Linked DNA regions of Mus musculus. The protein of the gene in region 5 interacts with the protein of the main gene of each other region in a pairwise test. Links are inferred from orthologs where the notes say so. Each region holds a gene or a part of one and is shown on either strand. Other genes may lie near its edges.

Region 1 (3,804 bases), on a different chromosome or scaffold from region 5:
GTGAGTGTTCTGGCGCTAGGTATTGGTTCTTAACTGCTGAGCCATCTCCCCAGCCCACTGGAGTTTATTTTTTTAGAAAGACATTTTGGGGGCTGGAGGGATGGCTCAGTGGTTAAGAGCTCTGGCTGCTATTCTAGAGGACCCAAGTTTAGTTCCCAGCACCTCTATCAAGTGGCTCACCACTGCTTGCAACTCCAGCTCCGGGAGAGCCAACATACTATTCTAGACTCTGAGGGTGCCCCCATGCAAGTGGCATGAATGCATGCACACAAATGCAAACTTTTTAAAATTAAAAAAGGTAAGTTCTTAAAAAGCATGTGCCACCCTCCCCCCAAAGACAGTTTTTAAGCATAAGAGTTAAGGGTGTGGATGTAGGCTTCTCAAAGAGTAGCCCTGGCTTTGCCTATGTGACTTTGGATGGTCACTTTAGCATCCTGCTCCACATAACTGAAGGGTGTTCACTGGGTGTACAATTCAGGGGCTGCTGAAGTCCTGGCATCATGGCTGATCAAGGGAGGGACTCAGATATCCAGTAGTCTTCACTTTCATCTGCAAAATGGCTCTTCATCAAAACCCGGGGCCAACACCTAATCCCAACCCCAGCATGCTGGGTCCCCAAACTGCCACTGACAATTCAGAGACAACACACATCAAGATGGCAGCTTTAATTGTCTTTGCCCTTGGGTTCCTTCTACTGTAGGCAACTTTGGCCAGAGGCCCATGCTTGACTGAGCCCAATGTGCTTCGCCCAGGTGGCCCATTGCCCTGTGGCCGCTGCTGTGGGAACCTGAGGTCAGATCAGTCTGTCGTTCACCTGGTCCTCAAGGCTTCTTCTGCCCCAGAGGCCTGCTGGACAGTTGGGTGTGAGGCAGGACAGCCCTGAGCCTGTGATTCCGGTCCTCTCCAGCTGCTTCTCAGGGACAGAGAGGTCAGTGGTAGAAGGGAGCTGGTTGGGAGGAACGCATCTCCACCACAGCCACTGCTTTCTTCTCCTGAGATGAACTTCCTTGTGCTTTGAGATGGGTGCAGAGCGTAGAAACACCCCCCCCCCCCCAAGAGGGAGGCCCAGCCAACGTCCTCAAGGCAGGGGTGAGAACATTAGTCATCTCACAGCACAGACAGATAAATAGAGAGGTGTGGGCATAGGGAGACATCCACGTCCTCCACTTGCTTGTGGCACACGGCACAGCCCAGTGACTCACCAACCCTTCCAGGCTGGGAGGCCAAGGATGACTATGAGAGTGGACCAGGAGATCAGGCCTTCGCTTCCTGGATGAAAAGCCCCAGGCCTGCAGGGGCATCTAGAGGCTGGAGTCCTGGTCCAGCTGAGCCTCAGCGGAGAGGGCCCCTTTGGTCACCCCCCCACTCATGCAAGAGAGACTGGAACAGACAAAGGAGCTTGGAGCACATAAGTAGGCTGAGGAGCCAGCTCCCGGGCCCTCTAGGTGCAGCTTCTTTTCATCAGACCTTCCTCTCTTCTAGGTTCTACCTTGGGTACAAGTTGGGCAGACAGATCTTCAGCTAATGCCCACTCTGCTCTGTGACGGTCTTGGCACGGCTGCCAGCATTTCGAGGGCCCACGGGGGTGGCTGTGCTGTTGGCATTAGCATAGGTGTCGTAACTGCTGTCTGAACATACGGAGAGCTCATCGGAGACTTCCACACCATCACTGATCTCTGTTTGACCAGAGGAGACAGAATGTGAGCGAGGAAGATTGGCTCTGAGGACAGGGGGACAGGCAGAGGGAAAGGAAGGCACTCGGAGACAGATGTAATCACTGGTTCCAGTCAGCATGGAGCCTGTGGGCACTGAGCCTGGCGTTCAGGGGCCTCCTCAGTCCCTCCTAGGCCCTTAGTCCTCTGCCCCCTGGAACTCCTGTTGCAGAAACCTAATGCACCCTCGGGGGCTTGTTACCCAGTGTTTACTTTGCTCCGGGCATTTGCACACGTTGCCTTCTCTCTGTCCAGTGTCTTCTCTCCCCAGCAACAGCTCTTTTCCTAAAATCTAGCTCAAGCTTCCCATCCCTGGTATGGGATGCCTACTAGACATCTCCTTGATTCCCCAAGCTGGGCTGGGACTTCATATTTCAAGCCAGCCCAGTTCATCCAGCCCTCTCACGATCTACAATCGCCCGTGTCCTGGTGTTGGGAGGTGACTGGGCAGAGCCGAGGTTCTGGAAGGTGGCTCTGTGGAATGCTGCTTGGTTCTTTACGCCCAGACAAGCAGCACCTTGGGGCACACCCGTGTCCACAGAAGCACTCCTCCTAGTGTCTGATCAAGCCGTTACCCAGGCACCTCCAGTCTCCTTCACACCCAGCCACATCACCACCTCAAACCTTTCTTGCTGCCCCAGGGAGCCCTGAGCACACTTTCTGACTCAGTTCTTCTCTGAGGAGCCTCAGTGACACCCAGTTCCGCACAGGTCTTTACAGCTGCCTTCATAGACCAGGAATGCCAGCAGGGACGGAAAAGAACGCTGTTGTCACTTGTGGAAGTCATGTGTGAACCAAGGAAAGGCCTTGGGCCTTCACACAAACACCCACCCCCACACTCCAGCTTGTCACATTTGTTCACCAACCCACGGCTCATACTAAGCCTCAAGATCTGGGGTTGTGTGATGAGGACACACATGTGTTTCTGTCTCTTGGTACGTGCGTGGGTGTGGACCTGGAAAGAGGGATATGCCATCCACCTGTCCTGATGTATTACATGTGTGCCACCTAATCCAGGGCCCGCACAGGCTGTCACCTGAGAAGATGAGTTTTTCTTTCATGATGCTGACGTCCCGGCTGGTCCGGCGTACAGCGGCGCTCAGCATGATCTGCTCTGGGTTGTAACTCCGTATACCACCCAGGCGCCACCTGCAGAGACGGCCCAGTGAGCATCAGGTCCTCCCCCAGCCTCCCAGGAGCAGAGACCCTGCCCAGAGCCTCTCCTCATGTGGCCTGAGAGACCCATGATCCAAATGGGGAAGCTGAGGCCCAGAGAGGGGTAGTGTACTGATTTCCAGCCAGGGCCCTCCTGCCTCTCTCCCACCTCCTTTATCAGCCACCCTGACCCGGAAAGGCAGTTTTATATGTTATACCCTGGCTCTCGTTGGATGCGACAGTCTTGGGAGGAAGGAGCTTAGCAGATAGGACACTGATGACCTCCTATAAACCAACTAACACAACAGGCTGAGCAAAACCAGAAGGGGCCAAAGAGGACAGTGACAGTGAGGTTTTGCTTAGGACTAGCCCTCACAGGTCCCCGGACAAAGATGCTAGAGGAACATGGTCTGGAGTTATCTGCTTAGAAATAAGCACCCCTGACTCCCCAGGAGATGGACCCCTGCTGGGTGGTTGGAGGCAGCTAAGACTCCATATAAAACTCACTGTGGGGTTATAGATGGGGCCGACACAGCAGAAACGGACAGACAGGGTAGTAGGACAGACAGAGGGGAAGCAGGAGGCTGGAGGGGAAGGCACTGCGCCTCGGTGGGCCAGTGCTTGTTCCTCTGGCTCCTTGGCCGGCCCCGAGTGCCAGCCTCGATGCCGGGCACGCTGTGAGGCTAGGCAAGTGTTTGTTGAATCAATGAATGAACAGGTGAGGCCCACAGTAAGTATCTCTCTCCAGATTCATCTCCCATGGCTCCCTGTCCTCTCTCTGGCTATTCCTGACCCACAGGAGACAATGACCCTGCTGGGGCTGTGCCTGTCTGCTGGGCTCAGAACCACACAGGCAGCGCCTGTGTACTCTACAAGTGGAATGAGAATGCGCGAGTAGACTTCTTGTCAAGGGCTCAGTCCCATAGCCAGGGTCGAG
Region 2 (3,804 bases), on a different chromosome or scaffold from region 5:
CACTCAACCTCACTGAGGTAGATGAGGAAGGAGCACTCAGTGCCGTCTACTCCAAAGAAGGCGTAGCAGGGGTCAGAGGTCCAGCGGGCGCGCATCCACTGTGAAAAACATCAGGCCTGGGTAGGCAGCCAGGAACCCACACACCACCGCATGGACTCCCCTAGCCACAGGGTCCCCAAGATCTCGCCGTGAGGCCTGCCCCAACCTAAAGATGCAGCAGAACGCTAGAGACATACAACTGGGAGAGAGAGGCTGGGCCAAGGTCAGCCAGCCCTCGACAACTGAGGACCAGAAAAGGAGGTAAGTCAGCTTCCCTGGAGCCTCACAGAGGAGGGCCTCGGACCTGAGACTTGGCAGACGTAAAGAGGCCAAGCACCAACGACAAGGTCCAGGAAATTCAGCAGCCACAGCCCTTGTGCCCCCTGTCTCCTCATCTTAATTAGAGGCGGGGTCATAGGCATCCTTTATGGGGGCCAGGGCCAGGGAAGTTCTTTCCACAGGGGCTCCATGTGATCTCTAAGGAAGGGGTCTGCAGCCCCGTAGCCTATCCCTTAAAGGCTCATAGACAGCTCGAGAAGCTGTCTTTAAGGGTGTGAATCGGTTCTCTTCATGCACCGACATCATGCAGTCAAAAACACCCCTGGAGGTGATCAGGAGGGGTCCTTGGTCCAACAAGCCATGAGCTGGGCAGGGGGGACCAAGACTAGACTCATGCCATTTCTTGCCAAGATGTTAGAATGGGTCTCTAAGTGCACAAAGTTCCTAAAGGTGACAGGCTCAGAGGTCTTTGGGCTGATTATCATGGTAGGCCCAGTGGAGAAAGCATTTCTCTGAGGTTGGTCACCACTAGTTTGTGCTGGCTTAGGTACCTAGTTAACAGAGTCCAGCTGGGACAGAAATCCAGGGCTGAGCTAGAGTGGGCAGAGCCTGGAGGAGAAGCCTCCCACCTGTCTGATCTTCACCCTGCACCTTCCCCTCAGGGGGGGGGGTCCCCGAGGCCTCACCTCCACTTTCCCGGAACAGTCAGGGAACTTGGGGTCACTGGGTGCTTCACACTGGTCCCTCCGACCTTCAGACACTGCAAAAACAGAAGATGGCTTACTGAAACACCGGGGCCTGGAGGTAGCCAAAGAGAGAGGGCAAGGTGAAGAGGCCTGTGCTAGGACAGAGCAGTGGTCACCCTCCTGTTGCCCTCACCTGAGGTTTCTCCCACCCCACAGCCCTACTTCGCTTGCTCAGCCGCCTCCAGGCTCAGAGGAGCAAGCTCTTAAAACAGCTACAGAGTGGCCTACCAGATGGACACACCGCAAGCTCCCCACAAAATATACTCTTGTTTTCCTGAGAACGGCAGAGGGGCAGAAGCCTCTAGCTTTTCCCAAACCAAAAGGAACCACATCGGCCCACTCTGTCCTCCCCAACCTCCAGCAGGCCAGGGTGGGGTAGACCAGGTCCCCCTACTGAGAGCCTCAAGTAGGGCCCCCAAGAACTAGGCAAGCATTACCAGAGAAATGGGTCTTCTGGAGGCTCTGACCTATCCAGCAGGGCACTGGCCTCTGGGGACACAGGGCAATGTCCTGGCTGTGACGCACCCTTGCTATGCAGAATCAGGCTGTGGCGCAGGATCTGGTCCACCTTCACAGCGATGTCAGACACATTCTGGGCAATGGCCTGGATCCTTTCAATGAGGCTGGCCCCAGGGGTGAGCCTAGAGGGGAGGGGAGAGCCAGAGATAAGCCTTCCCATGGACAGTGAGCAGAGGCCACAGCGGAAACCAGGTGGGAGAGAAGCGGAGCTGGAGCTGCCTCTGCCCGACTCACACCTCGGACACAGCAGGAAAGCACACTTCTGGGCGAGTCTGCTGTGTTTACTGTGTCCTGACTCTGTCAGACACGGCACCTGGGACTGAAGCAGACAAAGAAACTTCTGTCTTCCTGCCAAGACCCTGAATAGATGAGCACAGGAACCCCCCCGGATGATAAAGGCCTTTTGCTAGGCACAGCCAGCTCATCTGAGTCTGTTCACACCAAGATAAGTTCACACCAAGATAAGTTCACACCAGCAACCTGGAGACCCGCCAGGGAACTAGCACTGGTTTGCTGAGAACCCATTCTTGTGTGTGTCTGTGTCTGTGTGTTTCCAGTGCATGTCTCTGTGTGTGAGTGTGTATGTATCTATGGGTGTGTATGTGGGGGGGTATGGTGTGTGTGTATGTGTGTGTCTGTGTATATGAGTGTATGTGTGTGTGTGTGTGTGTGTCTGTGTCTGTGACTCTGTGTTTCTGTGTATCTGTGTATATGTTTGTGTGTGTGAGTGTGTGTCTGTGTGTTTCTGTGTGTATTTGTGTGTGTCTGTGTCTGTGTGCTATGTCTGTGTGTGTCTGTGTGGTGTATTGTGTGTGTGTATGAGTATGTGTGACTATGTGTGTGAGTGTGTGACTGTAACTGTGTGTGTACATTTCTGTGTGTGTATATGTGACTGTATGTCTGTGTGTGTGCGTGTGTATGTGCGACTGTGTGTGTCTCTGTGTGTGTGTATATGTGATTGTGTGTGTCTCTGTGTCGGTGTGTGTGTGTGTGTGTGTATGTGTGTGTACATGTGTGACTGTGTATCTGTGTGTGTGTGTACATGTGTGACTGTGTATCTCTGTGGATGTGTGTTATCAGAGTGTGTGGTGTGTGGTGGGGGAGGAGGCGGGGCACAGTTGACTAGTATCTTCCTCTACTACTTTTCATATTATAGAGGAAGGGTTGCTTACTGGACCTGCTGCTTCCTGATTGGCTAGATGGGCTGAGCAGCAAGGACCCACTTGTCTCAGACTCCCCAGGGCTGGGATAATAGGCATGGGACAAATGCATTAAGCTTTTTACTCAAGTGCAAGAACAGCAAATGCTCTTAAGTGCTGAGCCATTTCTAGCACCTCCTCCCACCCCCCACTAACTTAAAGATTTATTTTAGGGGCTGCAGAGATGGCTCAGAGGTTAAGAGCTGACTGTTCTTCCAGAGGTCCCGAGTTCAATTCCCAACAACCACATGGTTGGCTCACAACCATCTGTGATGGGATCTCATGGCCTCTTCTGGTGTGTCTGAAGACAACTACAGTGTACTTATATACATAAAACAAACAAACAAACAAACAAATAAATAATCTTTTTAAAATATTGTTTGTTTGTTTGTTTGTTTGTTTGTTTGTTTTGCTGGTTGTGGTGGTGCACGCCTTTAATCCCAGCACCCAGAAGGCAGAGGCAGGAAGATCACTGTGAATTTAAGGGCAGCTTGCTCTACACAGTGAGTTCCAAGACAGCCAGAGCTTCAGAGTAAGGCCATGTTTCAAATAAATTAATAAGACAAACACGCACACGCACACGCGCGCGCGCACACACACACACACACACACACACACGCAGCTGCCTACGGATTCCCTGGAACTGGAGTTACGGATATTTGTGAGCCACCTAGATTGGGAGCAGGGATCTGAACGCTGGTCCTCATGACTGAGCAGCAAGGGCTCTACCACGGTGCCATCTCTTCGACTCCCTTCCGTTATTCTACCACAGTCTCATGTAGCCCATACTGGTCTCAAGCTTACTATGTGTGGAAGATGACCTTGAACTTCTGATCCTCCTGTGTTCCCCCCCCCCCCAAGTTCTCGAAGTGAGCACCACTGTGTCTGGTCCACGTGGTGCTGGGGATGGGACCCAGGGCTAAGCAGGCATTCTACCAGCTAAGCCACATCCACAGCCCACTTCCCTGGATCTTGAAAGAGCCCTGGACACGGACATTAAACCCTCTATTTTTCTCCATCAG
Region 3 (4,471 bases), on a different chromosome or scaffold from region 5:
TGGAAGCCCTGGGGGCAGCAGTGGTAGCCATCACCACAAGACACACCCTATGGACACAGAGAGGTCTGTGTGAGCAAGACGCTTTTGCTTGGGACTATTAGAGTGAAGGAAAGAGGTAAACACAGATTTTAAGCACACACACACACACACACCCCAACTCCCCAAGCCAATGGCACTGTCACCTTAGAGAACGGGCAGCAGCTGGAAGTCCCAGACACAGTGAGAAGACAAGAATAGCCAGCAGGACAGTGGCCATGGGTCTGGCAGGAGCCATCTAGATGATGGCTCGTTATTCTAGGCCATGTGTCCTGGAAAGAAGAGATGACATCAACCAAAGGGTCTGTGCCAGCCTTGCTCTGGTCAATCCAAGGTAGCCAGCCCTTCAAAAGGCCCGGGGTGCCAACTGGGGCAGGAGGCACTCACCAGAAGAGGGTTACAGCAGCTGTAGTTGGCTCCTCCCTGGTCAAGGCAGCAGGCAACAGGGCAGAACTGCCCATCTGGACACTGTGTTCCGGCTACCAGCCCTGCCGCGAAGGCCAGCCAGCTCATCAGGACCCACATGGTCTGCCTACAAATGCCAAGCAAAGTTTGGCAGCCACCTTAAACTCTGTGCCACCTTCTACTCTGAGGCCACGCACTCCCCTGTGCTCTGACCAAGGCCCTGGCTTCATTGAGTCTTCTCAACAAGCCAACAGGAAAGCAAGCAGATGTGTCGCTTGTGTCAGCGTCCTACCAGTGTGCAGCAAGCGCACATGCGTCAGCTGGCACACACTGTGGGCATGAACACGTGTGGATTCATGGCCTCACATACGGCTGAGACTCTGGGTAAGTGGGGGGGGGGGGCACGGGGTATGGCAGTCAGGAAGGCATGTGGCTTTTGTGGCTTTATCTATGGGACTGTGGGCTAACTGGGAGGCAGAGGAGACCTCAGCAGACACAGGAGGATGGCCAGCCCCACTGCCGGCACTGAACTGCCACCTGTAGCTTTCAAAAGCCTTGGGGGATGGAGAGGGACAGTCATCAGTCACATGATCATATGGGAAACCGAGCAGTGGAGAAAGTTGTAAAAACAGAAGTGCAGTGGTCAGTGGGGTCTGGTCTGGCTTCCCTATGGGCCAGCCACCGCCTACCCACAACTGTCCCCCCACCCCACCCAAGGGAAGGGGACACAGAGACTGGATCAGCCTTAAAGCTAACTTCATGGTGAGCCCTTCCCGACATCACCAGGGCACCTCAAACGGACCGCCTCCGTCTCTCCCCCCTCAGAAACCGAAACTCAGCTGCAAGTGGGAAGACCCAGCACAGTGCCTCACTGCCTCAGCAGGAGGAACCGAGCCTCTCACTTCCCTAATAAGCCTTTCCCCAGCCCAGCTGGCCTACCCAGCAACCCAGAATGACCCAACAATATTCAAAGACCCTCTAGGGAGTCTTTCTCCCTCTCCTTACTGTATTTCTCTGCAACAACTATGCAAAACAGTAATTATAATATTACTTTCACTTTTCAAATCCATGCCTAAGGATCAAGTCAGGGAAAAAAGACGGGATATGGGACTGGGTTCATATGCCAACTGGTCTCCCTGAATATTGTCAGAGAAGGACCCTGAATCCCAGAGGCCAGAGGTCCAAACAGGACAGGACAGAGCATTTTTCTGGCAGGTGACCCAAGCAGGATAGAAACAGGGTGGGAGCCGGGCGGTGGTGGTGCACACCTTTAATCCCAGCACTTGGGAGACAGAGGCAGACAGATTTCTGGTTTTGAGGCCAGCCTGGTCTACAGAGTGAGTTCCAGGACAGCCAGGGCTACACAGAGAAACCCTGTCTCGAAAAACCAAAAAAAAAAAAAAAAAAAAAAAATAATAATAATAATAATAATAATAATAATAAAATATTTAAAAAGTAGGTACAGAGACTTGGGTTTTAGTCCTGGAAGTGACACTCTATGTCAGAAATTGCTCCCTGTGTCTCAATTCTTCTCTGCCTGGACACTGGTGGCTATGAAAGACAGGAAATGCCACCCACACATGGCAGGCATGCTTTTGATCCCAGCATTTGGGAGGCTGAGGTAGGAGGGTTGCAAGTGCCAGGCCAACTTGGGCTATAAGGTGAATCCCAGGCCAGCCTGGGCTACATAGAAGGATCTGCCATCTTTCTCTTTCCTTCTCTAGGTCTTTTCAAGTGCCCTTTCACCTAATTCAAAGAACATCCCAGAGGCCATCTCCTAACCAGGAAGGGGTAGGGAAGACCCAGTTCCTCTCAACGGGGCTAGGGAGTGGTGAGCCCCTGGCCACCTCTACACTACACAGCTAGGGAGAACTGGAGCCTTTCAAAGCCCTAGCTCCGACATCTTCCACTAGGTGGCACCCCCCAACTCTGAGTGTCGAGGGGAAATGAATTTCCTAAAAGGTGAGCCAATCCAGATGAGAGGCAGCGGGGGAAAAGTGGCGGGGAGAGGCGGAAATTAGCTCTCTCGCCCCCCAAGAAAGGAAATAAAGCTGACACAACCCAGGGACTCAGCCATCACGCCCTGGTCCTGCTCGCAACCCCTTTGAGCTCTGGGGGCCAAGGGCCGGAGATCCCCACCCAATGCACGCCGCCGCAGAGAACACTTGCAGCGTCCGAAAGAGAAAGAGCCGGACCTGGAGACAGAGGTGGGAAGTACGGACAAGAGAGGAGCTGGCCCAAGAGTGGGGTGGTTCCTGTCCTGGAGAAAGGCCTGCAGCTTTCCGACATGCTGGGCAAGAGAAGCCTCTTATTGGGGGGGAGGGGGTGCGGGGAGGTGTCTCTACAACAACTGCCCCCACCCCTCCAAAAAAGAAAAGAAAAAAACAACCTCGTTAGTGCATCAGAAACCCCTAGGGGAGTTTCAAGAGGCAGGTCTTCTCTTGTCTCTGAGCTGAGACTCCAGAGGACCCTCAATTGCACAGGCAGCCTGGTCAGGCCTCTGGACCTCTGGACAGTAGCCGGGGAGATTGTCTGCAGAGGGTCCTCCTACCTGCGTCGGGGTCCGGGCTCCCTGGGAGGCATCTGGCGGTCAGCTCCAGGACTAGGGCTTGGCCGCACGATGGCCCGCCCACCTCAATTTCCATTAGCCATTGCTCGGAGATCCAGGGCTTCCATTGGTTACTTGTCTACGTAGAGGCGGGACTCTCCTGGAATGCTGTGTTTCTTTTCTACTCAGTTCACATTCCTCCTCCCTTTCCTCTTTCTCCCCACACCCCATTTCTAGGGATCATGTGATTAGAGAATCATATGACAACATAGCCCGCCTCCCCCAGGGCAGAGCTTGCTGGTTTGGGTTCTGGCGGCAGAGTGTTGCAGAGATGAGACACCTCATGCCTAAGGGCACCCACAGTTAGGAGAGCTGCCCTGAGGGCACGCGTTCAAGGTCGTTTACTGGAGGGTGTCTGCTTCTGGATCGGGACTTTTGTACATTCCTGTCTCTTCACGCCTGGCAGACAAGGACTCGAAACCAGTTGGAAGATGGTTGTGAGGGTGAAGATAAATAGTCCCCAGGTTTGAATGGGGAGAGTGGCTTAGACTAAATCTAATAAAGGTTCAAGGGCGAGTACCGGGCACTGTAGATGTGTGTAGGGAGGAGGCAGGAGATTGGCTCAAACTGGGGGGAAGAAGAGATTTAAATCCATATTGATAGCACTGCATTAAATTGAAGCTGAAAGAATTTTAAGAGGCTGATAAGGTGGGACAGAGGAACTTGAAACTAGATTGGGAAAGACAGTGAATCCTTTCCTTGGGTAGTTTATATCTTGTTCTTTACAGACAGCCTCTAGCAAGGGTTGAAAGCCACGTTCAAGATAAGGGCATTAGCCAAGTGTGTGGCACTGCCTGTGGAGTAGGCTGGTGGCTGTCGAGATGGAAGGGGTTTCCTTGTTTCAGCTGTCCCCACCTTCGAGGAATTGTTATGGTGGGTGAATAGAGACCATGGGGGTCAGCCATACAGTTCAGGACAGTGGGAGTCTTACATAGAGAGGAGTGCATGCAGGGTTGTGGAATTCCGTGAGGGCTTCTTACACTGGAGTCCCAGAAAGTGTGTAAGACTGGTGCATCATTCTGCATCCTGATGGTGTTAGCATAGGTGTTCCATGACATTCATACAGGTGTCCCCAGAACAGACCATTGCTTATGCTTCTAGTGAGACACAGCCATCTGCGGAGGCTGAGGAAGGGGTGCTGCTGAACCCCAGGAGTTGGAAACCAGACTCAGCAACATTGCAGCTCACCCTCTGAGTCAGGGTTTCCTGTGTTCCAGACGAGCTTCAGCTTGATAGATAGCTGACACAGAACTTCTCAGTTTTCTGCCCCCATCTCCCAAGCGCCACGATTGCAAGTGCAGATTGCCGTGTTTAGTTTCTGTGCTGCTGGGATTAGACCTAGGGCCTTGAGCATGCTGAGCTACAAGTGCTACCAACTGAGCTACATCCTAGACGCAGCACTGCCTCAAGGGGAAATAAAAT
Region 4 (3,804 bases), on a different chromosome or scaffold from region 5:
GTGTGTGTGTGTGTGTGTGTGTGTACAGAAGCCATCACTTTCTTCTATGTCATTATGATGAGATGCCTCAGTCTCTCTGTGGCTCCAAATTGCAAGGGGAACTGTTGGCTTAATGAGGCTTTTGTTTGAGTCCATGAGAAAATACACATACATACACACACACACGCACACACACACTCAGAAATACAGAGACACAGAAAGAGACAGACAGATAGACACTGCAAGTGTTGCTCCTTGGCAGCCATCTATCTTGCTTTTTTTTTTTTTTTTTTTTTTTGGTTTTTTGAGACAGGGTTTCTCTGTATTGCTCTGGCTGTCCTGGAACTCACTTTGTAGACCAGGCTGGCCTCGAACTCAGAAATCCACCTGCCTCTGCCTCCAAGTGCTGGGATTAAAGGTGTGCGCCACCACGCTCAGCTTATATCTTGCTTTTTGAGAGAGGGTCTCACACTGGAACCTGGGCCTTATTGATCATGCTGCTCACTAGCTAGCAAGCACCTGAGATTCTTCTGTCTCTGCCTCCCTATCTCTTGGATTGCAGGTGTGTCTGTCACTACGTCTGGCTTTCTCTGTGCATTCTAATGCCTGACTACAGAGCTCCTCACACGTTCACAGCAAGCACATTATAGCCTGGGCTGTCTTCCCAGCACTCCAGACACACCAACTTACTACTGCCAATGCAGATGTGAACACTGTCACCTGCCCCATCCTATTTAATCTGTGCAATGACAGCCCCTTGGGAATGATCTACTTGTGAGTTGGTGTGATTTAAAGGTTCCCATATGAAAACTTCCCAGGTGAGTTGCTGGTCTCTAGGTACTGGTGATGTTTGGGTAAGCTGCTATTTTGTTTCTGCATTATGCTGCTATAGCACTGAATATATCCTGCATTTCTTTGCAAAGATACGGGCATGGGGGTTTGAGGCATGAAAGAAGGCCCTCTCTAGATGGCACCCATCCCAGCCTCCCATGCCTTCAGCCCCCTGGCTCTATGCTCTCACCTTGCAGGGTAACTTCTAGGAAGTAGTGAGCATACTCCTTGAGGCACTCTTTGGTCTTTCGGAGGCAGGTGGTGGGCCAGGCGTGGCAGTGGTGGTCCTTCTGGCTGATGGAGGCCAAGAGGTAGTAGTCCAGAAAGTGGGCGGGCGTGGGCAGGCAAAGGTCCCAGCTGAAAGCCTCCAGGAGCAGAAGTTCTGTGGTCAGCAGCTCCTTCTTGGTGAGGGAGAAGTTTTGGCTGCTCAGGATCCTTGTATTGTTTATCTGCTCCAATTTAGGCACGCGGTCTTCCCTGTCTTCAAACTTACCTACGGGGAGGCAGAAGCACAACTTACTAGAGTAACTGAACCCAGGATAGCAAAATCTCACCTATGATGTCCGGATGGTGTTGACAATACAGACAGGAAGGAAGGGTAAGAGGGACTGCCCGGGAATAAAAGGTTGTATTTGGATCTGGAATCCTCAAGCCATCATGTCCTGCTATATCACTGTGATGAGATGTCTCAATCTTTCTGTGGCTCCAAATTGCAGGGGAAACTGATGGCTTAATGAGGCTTTTGTTTGTGTCCACGGAGAAAACGCAGAGAAAATGCAGACGAATGCTCAGATAGACGCCTAGAACATCCAAGGCACTGGAGAGCAGTCAGGGGCAGCTTTCAGGTTCCCACATTCTCTGTCTGGCCATCACCAGTCCAGGCAGAGCCATACAGCTTTGCAAGTCTGACCCCATCTTGCTAGGTGTGGAAGAGGCTGTCCACAGCTCGCCACTGTCTTCCATGGACCTCCTATTCTAACCATGCCAGTTTTAGTTTGAGTTGCCTTGGAAACAAGTTTGCTTGGAAGGTGATTTCAAAAAAAGACTGGCAAACTGGGGGGAGGCAAGAGGGAAAGGAAGAGAGCCCTAAAGAAATCATTGAGAGGTGCAGCGGTGGACACCTGGAGCCTGACCACATATGAAGGGATTCTGAAAAACAGTTAAAAATACAGGCTTTAGACCTTGGGTTATACCCTCAATAGCCATAAACAGGGGCTTCTCTAGCCCTAAGGGTCAAGACTAGAAGCTATTGGGGGACATGGTAGGCCCACTTGGTGAGGCTCTGCAGGGTGGAGGCCTCCAGACTAGGCACTGCTTTCTCAGGATACCACTTCACATCTGGTAGTGGATCCCATCTGTCTTAGCTAGGGTGTTACTGCTGTGAGCAGACACCATGACCAAGGCAACACTTATAAAGGACAACATTTAATTGGGGCTGGCTTACAGGCTCAGAGGTTCAGTCTATTTTCATCAAGGTGGGAGCATGGCAGCATCTAGGCAGGCATGGTGTAGGCAGAGCTGAGAGTTCTACATCTTCATCTGAAGGCTGCTAGTGGTAGACTCACTTCTAGGCATCGAGGACTACGGTATTAAAGCCCACACCCACAGTGACACGCCTACTCCAGCAAGGCCACACCTCCTAATAGCACCACTCCCTGGGCCAAGCATATTCAAACCATGATACTATCATTGGCAGGTCTTTGAAAGCACTACGTCTCCTGGCCTTGTCTGCAGAGCTCTGTAGCCCAGAAAACCCTTCTCCATCCCTTCTTCACTCAGCCAAGCTTGATGTATCCTTCACTTCCAAGTCACTGTCTTGGGCAAGCCTGCCCTAATTGAGCCACTTGAGGGTCAGCCTGGACCTGGTCACCTGTGATCTCCATGCAGCCTCATAGGGTGCAGAGCAGCTGCTGAGGGACCCTGTTGGGAGGGGCACAGATGCCTCATGGCTGTGGCCATTGACTCTCGGACCCCATTACTTACCAGCCTCTCTGGAAAGATTAGAAGCACCCACCCTAGGCTGCTCGGCAGACACTCCTATTCTAAATGCAAGGATGCTGGGGCAAAGCGAAATGAATCTCTGGGTGCCCTGGGATCTGTCTTATTAGGGACCCAGCAACAGCCCTGACAGCTGGGTGGAGATGAGAGGGTAATTGGATATATACACAACAGGGAGAACGCAGAGACCGCTCTTTCTGGTCAGGGCCAGTCTCCTTCCAGAGCGCAGTTTGCTGCTGCAGTGGGGATGCCCGCAGTGGGTGTGGCCTCCATGGAGAGCTTGGGGGCAGGGTAAGCACAAACTGTCCAAGCAGGGAAAAGCTTCTCTAAGGCTGCAATTGGTGTCCCACTGGCATGTGATGCTCATATCCAGTTCCCCTCTTCCTTACCCGAGGATGTGATCCCGTGGACCGAGGACCCTCCTCCTTTTTTTACTGCTCTCACTCATCCAGTGACTTTCTAAGCTTAGTTGAAAACCCTGTTAACATCACCACCTCCCGATTCTAAGACCTCCTGTAGGTGGACAAATGAGTGGATGGGCAGTTCTTCTCTCTTGCACGGGAACTATACTATTTGCAGTTTCTCTGGGGAGTTTATACCTCCTATGTTTTTCTCCAATAACCATATATAAATTTAACTTTTTGTTTGTTTTTTTTTTTTTTGAGACAGGGTTTCTCTGTGTATCCTTGGCTGTCCTGGAACTCACTTTGTAGACCAAAAAAGTTGTCTGTGAAGTCAGAAATCCGCTTGCCTCTGCCTCCCAAGTGTTGGAATTAAAGGCATGCACCACTACTGCCCGGCAAATTTAACTTTTTAACTTTTTAAATTTTCCTTTAAAGAGTAAAGAAAATCCAGGTGTGGTGGCACACGCCTTTAATCCCAGCACTCGGGAGGCAGAGGCAGGCAGATTTCTGAGTTTGAGGTCAGCCTGGTCTACAAAGTGAGTTCCAGGGCAGCCAGGGCTACACAGAGAAACCCTGTCTAGAAAAACCAAAA
Region 5 (3,140 bases):
AGGCACAGACTGTCAAAGAGTAATGGCTCCTACCTCCTATTCTGAGCTCAATTTAGCACATAAGCATAAGACCTCAGAGTCTATATGGCTTTATCTTCACGCATATCCCTCCTGGTAAAAGAGACCTGCATTGCTGCAGAGAAACCAATGCGCTAGTTCATATTTTCTACTCTCCTGGGCAGAGGGAGACTTGATAAGTGTGGCCATGACCATTGAACATTAAAATAGAAGAAAGTGCTGTGATTTAAATTGAATTTCTAGCCAAAGGGAATGGAATTGAGATTTGGCAGATAATTTAAATTCCCATTAAAATAGCCACTGGAGGTACTGGATATGCCAGTCTGTGAAAACGGCAGTGGATCGTGGAGACTGGCCACTTCCATGTATTTAAACCACATATGTAAAGACATAGACATACAAGTTTTTAAATAGCCTTCAAAGTACTCAAACCTAGCGAAAGTTTGCATATACTCTAATGTAAGAATTTATACCAACCAAGGCATGGAATCCCTTTTGGAAATTGAGATCAGATGTAGGAAATAAACGCTGCCATGTTCATCATAAAAGGATTTGTTCTTTTTACTCAGAATGACGCCTTTCAGTGGTAATATGAATGACATTGTAAGATATGTTTGTTGGATTCATGATAAGTGCCATTTTGTCCAACCCTCTTTATGAATTTGTTCTTGTTCAACCTGGAGTCTATCGTTTTAACTGAACGACATCTCATTACCTACATTCTAAACCATCACGGACAAAGCACAATCTCAAGTGACTGTTTATTCATCTATAGAATTTAATGAAGCAAGCACTCATTTTCTGAATAAACATATTTTCATGGGAAACCATTTTCTATTCAGATGGTGAAATAAAGGAAAACATGCAGGAGTCTTTCCCAGGATGGCCTTTAAAATTCTTTTGATCATAAAAGTTGTAAGATTTTTTTATCTTCTCCTGCAAGCCTCTTGATTTTATATATATATATACCCATTTTACGAAGAGAATAGAATTACTTCTCAGCTAGTTATGTGTAGTTTGCTACTATTCAAAGTAGTTTGCTTCAAATTTCAAAGACAATTCCAAGGAAGAATTCTAAGAAAAATATTTGTGCTCTGGTGACTAGAACTGTACTGAGTCCATAACTTTACAAAGTGTCTGTTTGGGTTGGATAACTTTACCAGGGGCCCTATGAAAACCCAGACACTCTGATTTATGGTTATACTCAATCGATGGAAGGTATTTCAGGGATCATCCGGTTTTATGGGAGGCAGGAGCGCTACTTCCTGGGTATGAGAGAGTTTAGATGCAGCCTCAGACAACAAGGAAGATGAGTCTGCAGACAGAGCAGCCACTCTCTGAGAATATATAAAGGGAGAAGACGAATGAGGGTCAGACTCACACCTGACGTGCTCCCTCCCAGCTGCTCTTAGACCACTACCACTCTCTCAAGTTCACTATGGCTAGCCGTAACAACTGCTCCTCCTCCGGCAACTGCAGCTCTGGATCGCTCAGAAATACCTGCCACATCCCAGCCAGCTCCTCCATTGCCCTCTGCTCTACAAACATGGGCTGTGGAGAGGTCTTCTGCGTCCCCAGCAGCTGTCAAGATCACACCTGGTTCATGGACAACTGCCCAGAGACCTTTGCAGAACCTCTCAGTGGGCAGCCACCCAGCCGTGAAGCCAGCGGCTTTGAAAACTCTTGTTGCTCTTCGACATACTGTGTGCCCAGACACTGCCAAGGATCTGGCTATATTCCTGCGTCTTCCTTCATCTCTGGCTCTTGCCTCCCAGCATCCTACAGGCCTGTGAGCTATGTATCTAGCAGTTGCCGGCCAGTGAGTCCTTTCATGAACAACTGCCGTCCTGTAAGCTGTGTATCTGGTGGATACCGCCCACTCCCTTGTGGATCCAATAGCTGCCGACCTCTGGGCATTGTCACTTATGGATGCAGGCCTTCAGGTTGTGTGACCTATGGCCCTCAGACCATTCACATTGTGTCAAACAGCCTGAGACCTCTGCAGCCTGTCTGCGGTGGTTGCCAACCATCGATCCCTGTGTTTGGCACTTGTCGTCCTTCTTGCTCTGCACAAGGAGGTCAGTAGCTTCCTTGTTCCAGTGAAAAGCAATGAAGACTCAGGATAAAAATTGCAACACTCTGGCTGTTTGCTTCTTTCTGAGTAGCGATTACATTTTCTTGTTCTCACTGTCTATGTTAATGCAAACTGTTCCTTTCACACTGTGACTTGCTTTTATCTTTCCCTTGTTGTAAAAATTCCTGCTTCTATTGCTGCTAGTGTTGCTTAGGCAGGGAACTGTGTACCTGATATGATCTGCACTATAATAAATGAGATAATTCAGAATTAAGAATCTAGTGCGTTGATTTTTCGTTCATGACTTCATTGTAATGCAGGCACGAGCAGCCTCACCTGGTTGCCAGGGGATGTTCTATTGTATTTGCTACCTGATAACCCGGGCAATGGCTTATTATTTAGGAGAATAATGGCTTCAGAACAATATGGGGGAGCAAACTATGACCTTTCTCAAAGTTATGGTCAAAAGGAAAGCTCAACTCTAATCTCTGACCTCTGATTCCTATTGCACACACATCCTCCAGACTATTCTCTAACTGCAAACCCTGCAGTAAGCTTTAGTGTAAGCCTAGGTTGGTCCCTTTGATCTGATCCCATAAGACATAAGTACTTTCTTTGATGCCGCTGCCCTGGCTTCGTCTCTCAATTTATCCCCTTCTACTTAGTATTGCAAGTACTGTATACCCACACCGTTGTCTGACATATGGTGTTCCATAAATGTATCCTTATAAAAATAATCATCACCATTTTATTTATGCCTTTGTCAAGAACACTTTGACCTTCTCCATCTGCTGGAAATATCACAACACAGTTCAAATTCGTTAATTAACCTTAGACGTAAACAAACTAAGAAACGATTGAACACTCACGTATTGTAGAGTCGTGTGTGTTGGGCAGAAGAGACAGAGATGTAAGGAAGTCTGATATGTACTATCAGAGCTTGCCAGAAGTCATACACTATGGAATGCATCTTAATTAAATCCCATTAATTAAATAAAGCTTAACTCTTTAAGTATGTCAATGCTCATGTTTTTTTAGATACTGGAAA

The links.
Region 1: the proteins of Krtap26-1 (region 5) and Gdpd5 interact in a two-hybrid assay, tested with the Homo sapiens proteins (2 studies listed by BioGRID and IntAct). The two-hybrid records come from large-scale screens. The link is inferred for Mus musculus from reciprocal best matches to the Homo sapiens genes KRTAP26-1 and GDPD5.
Region 2: the proteins of Krtap26-1 (region 5) and Mgat5b interact in a two-hybrid assay, tested with the Homo sapiens proteins (3 studies listed by BioGRID and IntAct). The two-hybrid records come from large-scale screens. The link is inferred for Mus musculus from reciprocal best matches to the Homo sapiens genes KRTAP26-1 and MGAT5B.
Region 3: the proteins of Krtap26-1 (region 5) and Grn interact in binary tests that used the Homo sapiens proteins (3 or more experiments, as listed by UniProt). The two-hybrid records come from large-scale screens. The link is inferred for Mus musculus from reciprocal best matches to the Homo sapiens genes KRTAP26-1 and GRN.
Region 4: the proteins of Krtap26-1 (region 5) and Ccnjl interact in binary tests that used the Homo sapiens proteins (3 or more experiments, as listed by UniProt). The two-hybrid records come from large-scale screens. The link is inferred for Mus musculus from reciprocal best matches to the Homo sapiens genes KRTAP26-1 and CCNJL.

The regions. Positions count from the first base shown.
Region 1 is NC_000073.6:99,457,831-99,461,634, reverse strand, and holds part of Gdpd5 (glycerophosphodiester phosphodiesterase domain-containing protein 5), read right to left. Parts: intron 2,862-3,804; coding exon 2,749-2,861; intron 1,677-2,748; coding exon 1,522-1,676; 3' UTR 1-1,521. UniProt on the Homo sapiens protein: Glycerophosphodiester phosphodiesterase that promotes neurite formation and drives spinal motor neuron differentiation.
Region 2 is NC_000077.6:116,942,766-116,946,569, reverse strand, and holds part of Mgat5b (alpha-1,6-mannosylglycoprotein 6-beta-N-acetylglucosaminyltransferase B), read right to left. Parts: intron 1,706-3,804; coding exon 1,590-1,705; intron 1,079-1,589; coding exon 1,005-1,078; intron 99-1,004; coding exon 1-98. UniProt on the Homo sapiens protein: Glycosyltransferase that acts on alpha-linked mannose of N-glycans and O-mannosyl glycans.
Region 3 is NC_000077.6:102,429,062-102,433,532, reverse strand, and holds the start of Grn (progranulin precursor), read right to left. Parts: upstream 3,027-4,471; 5' UTR 2,993-3,026; intron 569-2,992; 5' UTR 562-568; coding exon 424-561; intron 309-423; coding exon 183-308; intron 48-182; coding exon 1-47. UniProt on the Homo sapiens protein: Secreted protein that acts as a key regulator of lysosomal function and as a growth factor involved in inflammation, wound healing and cell proliferation. Regulates protein trafficking to lysosomes, and also the activity of lysosomal enzymes.
Region 4 is NC_000077.6:43,577,183-43,580,986, reverse strand, and holds part of Ccnjl (cyclin-J-like protein), read right to left. Parts: intron 1,304-3,804; coding exon 1,001-1,303; intron 1-1,000.
Region 5 is NC_000082.6:88,646,048-88,649,187, reverse strand, and holds Krtap26-1 (keratin-associated protein 26-1), read left to right. Parts: upstream 1-1,391; 5' UTR 1,392-1,456; coding exon 1,457-2,104; 3' UTR 2,105-2,364; downstream 2,365-3,140. UniProt on the Homo sapiens protein: In the hair cortex, hair keratin intermediate filaments are embedded in an interfilamentous matrix, consisting of hair keratin-associated proteins (KRTAP), which are essential for the formation of a rigid and resistant hair shaft through their extensive disulfide bond cross-linking with abundant cysteine residues of hair keratins.